Linked DNA regions of Nothobranchius furzeri. The protein of the gene in region 1 purifies or fractionates together with the protein of each later gene. This does not show direct contact. Links are inferred from orthologs where the notes say so. Each region holds a gene or a part of one and is shown on either strand. Other genes may lie near its edges.

Region 1 (4,376 bases):
TATTGAAAAGCGTTCTTCTTCTCCTGGAATGTAAACAGTCTGAGGAACACCCGACCTTGGCGTTTTCTACACGGGTGTTACTGTGTACAGGGGCAGCTGTGTGGAGCTGAAAATAATGAACTTCATAACGTTACATCAGTATCGGCCCAAAAACTGCATATCGGTGCATCACTAATTGCAAGGTTTTGTCCAAATTACAACCACCCAAAAGCTCCACATCATCTAAAACTTGGTTTGTTTATTACCTAATCAAAAGTTAAATGACAACTAGATTATCATTTTAGCTAATGTCATTTGTTAGCTAATAAACACAACACAACACACCCAACCAACAAAACAACCCAGACAGCAGCTGTGTTTTTCTCACTAATATTTACTGGAAACAAGAATCAAAGATCCAAGGTCCTTTCCATCCTGCTGTAGGACATCTAGTAAAGTAACAGGATGTGTCATAAAATAGTACACAACAAAATACTTCGGTTGAATCTAGCAGTGAGATGATTTATGTGTAAAATTATTAGATTTTCAACCTTCTGACCCCCAAAATAATAACTTGTGACCCCAAATGTTGATGGCTGAACAAGACAAAAACAATTAAAAGGCCAAATATTCAAGAACATAATTGGAACACAAACAACTTCAACTCATACCACTTTTATATGCTTATGATTCATATTTTACAAAAATAGCTTGGAAATATCTTATTTGATCATTGTTTGAAAGTTTTATTTGAGTTTAATTTAGTGTTTTGAGACCCAACGTGGGTCAGGGTAAAACTGGAGAAACGATGTTCAATCAAACAACCGCTAAGATCTAACCCTAACCCTTTTACTCAAATCAGACTCCTCCAATGACCCTAGAGGGTTCATGTTAATTAGCTAAACCCTGTTTGTTACAGTGGCAGCGTTACTTGATGGGAGGAGGTATGTAAGGTAATTTAATGTGCAGAAGGGAATTTAAATTAATTCAGTTTAACAGCTTTGCTTTATTTTAACATATTTCTCTGATATTTTTCATGTGTTTTAGTTACATATTATTTTATGAGATATTCAAATGTTAATTTGAGAAGAAAATTACCATGGCAACCATCAACAGGTCCATCAAAGTCATAGTTTGAGATATTTTGTGATCAAGACATTTTTACTAAATATAAGCTTCTTAGGACAAACCTGTTTAAATTCCTCTTCTGCTTCATATAACCAGGCATGCTTCAGCTTCTCCTTGTCTTCTGCCAGATCCATTATCTGCTCAAAGGATGCGTTGTCCTCACTGGTATTTTTAGCAAGAAAACGGTCTAAACTGGGCAGGGTTTTCTCTTCCTGGTCATTGTTCTTTTTTTCTATGAATAAATAATTTGTTTTTAAAATACGATTAATTGCAGTTCAATGTGTACATGTCTATTCTTATAACAAAAAAGAGAGTAAAAACTTTTTTTTTACTATAACTTACCAGCATCTAAACCTTTACTACTGTAAGTTGTAGAGGGAGATCCTGGGTGACCCACTGGTGTCTCAAAGCTGGCAGGAGTCACATCTTGCACATAAAAAAGTAAAAACACAGCAACAATACAATCAATATTTACTTTAGAGTGAGCAGAGAAAACGAAGAAGCAGTTTTCTGCGCATCTGGTCTTCAGTTAGCCTAAAAGAGCATGTCACCCCTCTATTCATTGATCTCCATTAGCTACCTCTAGCTGCATGCATAAAATTCAAATCGCTAGCACTAGCATACAAAGTCCTGGATGGTACAGCTCCCATCTACCTGAATCCTCTTGCAAAGGCTTATGTCACGGCCCGGCCACTCCGGTCATCGAAGGATCGTCGGCTAGCAGTACCTACACCATGCTCTCTTTTCATGTATTGTTCAACAGATGTGGAATTACCTACCAAGCACTACTAGAACAGGGGCTTCCTTGTCGATTTTCAAGAAAATCCTGAAGACCCAGTTCTTCAAGAGAGCATCTTCTAATCTAGCACCCTCCCAGCACCCGTCCCCCACTCTACTGCACACTCCATGTTCGCTTCCCTCTTTGATTGGTTATGCTGCCTGTCTGCCAAGATTGACTGAATAGTGTTTGTTGTTAGCCTCGAGGGCAACCTGCTGGCTTGATTACCACCTGTAAGTCGCTTTGGACAAAAGCATCTGCTAAATAAACATAAACGAGGTGTGTTGAATCCCAACAGTTATTATTTTGTTTCTACTCACAAGGTACGGACGTTCGTGGGGTAGACTTGGTCAAGGATGATCCATATCTGATTGATATGTCTCTCATTCTCTCAAGATCTCCATTTTCCTCTGCTTCCAGGTAGTCCTTCTGCGCTTGTAGTTTAGTGACATCTGGAAAGAAGTCCCTCTGGATTATTTTCTCCAAGCTCTGTCAAGAGACCAAACATGAATAAATTAACAGCAGAAGGAAGCGTTTTATTACCAATATAATTATCCACCAAACTGTCACTGTACTAACAACTATGATTAAACCTTCATAATATCATTTACCATAACAAAATAAAACAAGCAACAGTCGAAATAATTTTGGTTAGCCTTATTAGCAAATGGGCCGTTTTTAACTGGAGCCTAAACTCATATTGTTTCAAGTCCCTTACCTGAATGTATTCCTCTTCATCGAGAATTTTTCTCTTCAACGTGTCCTTCTCCTTGTTCTCGGGATGACTGACAGCGACTGTCGTGACGGCTGGAGGTACGAGAGTCCCGGACAGTGCTCTCCTCACGCTACTGCTACCCTCCATTGTGGAGCCTGAGAGTTAGCGTTAGCCTTCAGGCTAGAGACGAGTCACGAGAATAACGAGAAAATAATCTCAGAAAAAAAACTGAGAACGATTTTTCACTTAATAAATACCGTTAAAAACGTAACCGAGGTTTTAAATAATTTCACACGGTGGGAATGGCGCTATATATATATATGGTTTAGAGGCTGACTTTTAGCCACAACACCAACGCACAACACAAAACGTTCTTCTTACGCAATTTAAGCGAGTACGTCACCGGAAGTTATTGTTCTAAACTAATTTCCAGTATAAAAGGCTTATGAAAATATTCTGAATATAAATGATACTATCAGTTATATCACAAATCTACAAGACAAAAACCTGGAATTTTACATTAAGAGATGCATGATCCCATCGTAGTCTTTTCACTTAGAATGACAATCTTTCCTCGGGTCTTTTTCAGCATCCGAAAACAAAAACTGATTTTTAAAAGTCTACATAAAGTTATGTTCTGAATCCTTAAACCAAACCGTTGTGTTCATTTTACTTACTCTTTCAAATTTTTTTTATTCTTTTATTCAACATTTCTCTCACATACCTGCTCCACTTCTCCAGTTTGATGCAAACATACTCAGACAGTATTCATATAATTATGTGTGAATATTTATGATGATAAGCTTTTCTGATAATGAAGATATTTGACCAAAAACAAACAAACAAACTGACAGAATGAATAACAAATGAAAAACATTAAAACAGTTTAAACTGTTCAAATTTATCAGCAACTCAGCATCCCAACTTATCAGAATGTATTATTATTATTGCCCAAGTTAATTAAAACGTAGTAAAATGTTTTAGAATGAATTTACATGATGGATTTTTGATTTAACGCACTGGTGAGTTTATTAATAAAGAAACAATAAAAAGCTTTTCAATCCGTTTGTTTTAATGATCATCTTGCTCTTATCACATTTCATAAGGATTTTTATCAAGCAAATAAATAAAAAAATCAAGTGGCTCAAACAAAAATGACACTCATCAAATGTTAAAAGACAATGTTTTAATGAGGTAAATATTAATGATGCTCCAGGAGTCATCAGGTATTGATACTTTAATTAAGACCAAAGGTGACAGATCATTTGCTGCTGTGGCCCCCAGACTCTCTCTCTGAGCCTGAGATCAGTGGACTCAGTGGTCTCCTTTAAAAAGCAGCTGAAAACTCACCTGTTCAAGCTGGTTTTGGTGTGACCTTCATCATCACCTTCTCCTTGTTCTGCTCTAAACCAATTACGCCTTATCCGGGATCCACTGATTTCCCTCTTTCCTATTCATTTTCTTTTTCCCTTTCCTTGCACATTTAAATCACAAATCTGTTTTTTATGTTTTTCTTCTAATTTTAACCATGTTTTTAAATAATTTTTTAAGTTTTTTTTGTATTTTGAATTTTCTGTTGTTGTGAAGCACCTCGTGAGTTTTTATCTTGAGAGATGCTAAATAAAAGATGATTTTCTTTAATTAAAAAAACATATTTATAATAATTAGGTTTTTATTTTTATTTTTATTTTTTTTTTTGCATGCAGGATTGATTTGGTTTTAATGTGTTTTCATTGTTCCAACGTTCCAGTAAAATTACTTAGAATTTTCAAAATA
Region 2 (3,688 bases), on another chromosome or scaffold:
TATATATATATATATATATATATATATATATATATACACAGTACATATACAGTATATATATCAATCAGCATAACAGAGCATAACTTTGCAACTTTGCGTGGAAGCTCAGAGTATTTTTTGGAAAAGTCTAAAAAATCTCTAAAAGCTCATTTATAAACCTAAAATTGTCTGGGATATATTTAATAAAGATGACATAGAAATGAAAATATCACAGTTTTAGCACACATTCAAGAAAATAATTCAAACAAAGAATCTACAGAAAATAAGAGCAAGTTGTACCTTTCCCAGAGACAACTTCGTTCTCAGTCCGCCAACGAAATCCAAACTGATGGAGACAGATTAAAACAGAGTTAAATTTCAGTTGTTCTCCATTTGTATATAATTCTGAGAATTACTTTAGTTTTGATATTTGGTTTAAAATGTTTTCATTAAGTCATTTTTACTATTACTATCTCTGGTGCTCACTCAGTTCTTTTGGTTCCTTCATATTAGTTATTCCTGTCAATACCTATTGATGCTCCTTTGAATCTCCCTTTGTTCTGCAGTTATTCATTATTTGTGTGCGTTTTATTTTACTCGCTGCACATTGTTGCATTAAAGTGTATGAAATGGGCTTTATAGATGAAGGTTGGGACTATCAGGCACAGTCCAAAGTTGGTTCCGATCATGTCTCAAAGACAGGGGTTATGTTGTTTCTATTGGTAATCACAAATCAAAGCAGATCACCATGACATGTGGGATCCTCCAAGGCTCAATTCTTGGACCACTGCTTTTCAATCTCTACATGCTCCCCCTGGGTCAGGTCATAAACAATAACAATTTTACCCATCATGGTTATGCAGATGACACCCAGATCTACATTGCTCTATCACAGGGGTCGGCAACCCCGGGCACTCGTGCCACAGTTGGCACGCAAAGGGTTAACTAATGGCACAGAGCATTAATCTGAGAAGATGTGTTGAAAAATAAATGTTGTAACGGACCGAATTTTCTGTTAATTATTTTTGTTTTCTTGTTTGGTCACTAAATGCGTTAAAAAGTTGAAACGTGAAGCTCTCACCTGCTCTATCACCTAGTGACTGTGGTTCTCTAGACTCACTTTACCAGTGTTTAGAGCAAGTTAATGACTGGATGCAATCAAACTTCCTCCAGTTAAACAAAGACAAGACTAAAGTTATTGTCTTTGGAAATAAGAATAGAATGAAGGTTATTGCTCAACTTAGCTCCAGAGGAATAAAGACAAAGACCTAGGTTAGAATCTTGGTGTCATAATTGATTCAGACTTAAGCTTCACGGGTCACAATAAGGCTATAACTAGATCAGCGTTTTAACATCTATCAAATAGCACGACTCAGGGGTCTCATGTCCAGACAAGACCTAGAGAAACTCATTCATGTGTTCATTTACAGCAGGCTGGACTTTTGCAATGGTCTTTTCGTCTGGTATTTCCAAAAAAGCTGTGAAGAAACTGCAGCTTATTCACAAGGCTGCTGCTAGAGTCTTAACAAGAACCAAGAGAACCAAGCACGTCATTCCTCTTCTTAAATCTCTACACTGGTTACCAGTAAACTATAGAATCGACTTAAAAGTGCTTCTGCTAGTTTATAAATAACTCAGTGGCATGGGGCCAGAATACATGCCGGATCTCCTTCAGGTATATACGCCCAGCAGGGCTCTGAGATCCTTAGGAAGCGGTCAGCTGGTAGAACCTCGGGTCAGAACCAAACAGAGTGAAGCTGCTTTTAGCTAATATGCTGCACACAGATGGAATCGGCTTCCTCATGACCTCAAATGTGCCCCAACTCTAGAAACTTTTAAATCAAAATTGAAACCTTTTACATATTCATTAGCCTTTGAATGGCTGCTCATCTTTTAACTTTGTTCGTTTCTTTTAATTTTGAAATCAAAACTTTTTTTGTGTGTACTTTCCGTCATGTTAATTTTTAATCTTCTTGCTATTCTTGCTCATTGGAAAACATATTTAATTGCCTCTGTGTATGAAATGAGCCATAAAAATAAAGCTGCCTTGCCTTTAATTTACTGACTGACTGATGTCACAGTAAAGTTTTAAAGACTGTTTAGAATAACTGAAGGTTTTTTGATTATTCCACATCACTGAATAATCTTTTTACACAGTTTCCATTATCATTCTGCATTTCCCTGGCAGTGTAGAGATTTTTTAAATTTTTTATTATTGTTTATTTATTTGGCAGACGCTTTTATCCAAAGCGACATACTTTTTAACCTATAGGGCATGTTGTGATCTGTGGGGGAAACCGGAGTACCCGGAAGAAACCCATACATGCGTGGGAGAACATGCAACTCCATGCAGAAAGACCACAGCCGGGGTTCAAACCTGCAACCTTCTTGCTGCAAGGCAACAACGCAAACAACAGCACCACCATGCAGTTGTTTTAACTCTTGTCTGTGTTTTTATACACAAGCATCTGACCCATGTGCATGTTCTGCTGTATTATGGATCAACTATTCCTTATATGAGCTCTGCTTCATTCACCAGCTCACCTTGTTTTCCTTGTATCTGCTGAGGTCAGCTATGCAGTACTCTTTAAACAGCTTGTCGTAATACTTCTTGGCAAGTTCTTTTTCCCTTCAAGTGAGATTGAAAACAGCACAAAAACCAGTTAATTTAACTGAGCACAAGCTAAATGCAATTTTTCATAAGAGAACTGATCAATCTGAAATCAAATTGATATCAAAGTCTCCTTAATGAGCAGCTGATTTCATGTGATCACCATGTCATCTCCTCCTCGTCCTCGTCCCTCCAAAGGAAGCGGTGGTTTTCACGCAGCACGTCCAGATCCGTTTTGTCTTTCGCTCTGAAGCAAATATTAAAGAGCCAAATGAAAAAGATTCGGCGTACAGATAAATTAATAAATTAGTGATGGATTGGTTGTAATTAAGTGTTTAACAAAACCAAAACAATGCATCCAAATGTTGTCACACAGAAAACAAATTGTTATTAATTTGGCCCTCAGAGACGGCAGACGATGGATTTTCAAGCTGTGAGGCAGATCACTTACGCAGAGCGTCTGAAGTCGGCCATCTGTCCTCCGTAATACAAAATGTAGTCACCAACAAACTTCTTATGTCGCTCAAACTGGAGTTTATTGTCAAGAAACTATTAAAAAAATAAGATTTTTGATTGTGTTACTATCAATAATAAAAAGATGGGTAATATACAAGTGAAGGCAAAGTTTTAAAGAAAGGATACGGCATTCATTGATATTAGGTGGGCTCTTCTGTTTCTAGCTTCTTCTCTGAAAAACAATAAGGAAGGGAGGACAGCATCCCTTTTAAAAAATGCAACAGTGTATTCAGGCGAATGCATAGCTGTTGAAGTGTAGCTGTGAGAGGGTCAGGGTTTCATCATTTCTAAAGTTTCATTCATTCTGTGGACACAAACAACAAGCAAAAACAACATCTAACTGAATCATTTCAGATTTCTCCTGTCAGTAAACTTTTTATTATCAAATCAAATTTATTTATTAAGCGCTTTTCATACAAATGCAGCTCAAAGCGCTTTACAGCGTTCAAAACAAACAGGCAGCAGTCGGTTTCCCACCCCTCCCACACAGATTCACATAAGAGATCCCCCTTTGTATCTCCCTCCTCCCACCCTCAATCCCATCCCAAGCAGATGCAAACTCACGCACGCGCGCGCACACAC

What was found. The genes of interacting proteins can lie anywhere in the genome.
Region 2: the proteins of ess2 (region 1) and fra10ac1 purify together in Homo sapiens (co-immunoprecipitation; 3 studies listed by BioGRID and IntAct, counting the BioPlex papers as one, with this or other methods). This does not show direct contact. The link is inferred for Nothobranchius furzeri from reciprocal best matches to the Homo sapiens genes ESS2 and FRA10AC1.

Annotation. Positions count from the first base shown.
Region 1 is NC_091746.1:52,058,921-52,063,296, forward strand, and holds the start of ess2 (splicing factor ESS-2 homolog), read right to left. Parts: upstream 2,972-4,376; 5' UTR 2,748-2,971; coding exon 2,604-2,747; intron 2,375-2,603; coding exon 2,206-2,374; intron 1,534-2,205; coding exon 1,450-1,533; intron 1,340-1,449; coding exon 1,170-1,339; intron 1-1,169. UniProt on the Homo sapiens protein: May be involved in pre-mRNA splicing.
Region 2 is NC_091756.1:37,044,605-37,048,292, reverse strand, and holds part of fra10ac1 (protein FRA10AC1), read right to left. Parts: intron 3,279-3,688; coding exon 3,233-3,278; intron 3,119-3,232; coding exon 3,042-3,118; intron 2,838-3,041; coding exon 2,754-2,837; intron 2,609-2,753; coding exon 2,524-2,608; intron 326-2,523; coding exon 280-325; intron 1-279. UniProt on the Homo sapiens protein: May be involved in pre-mRNA splicing.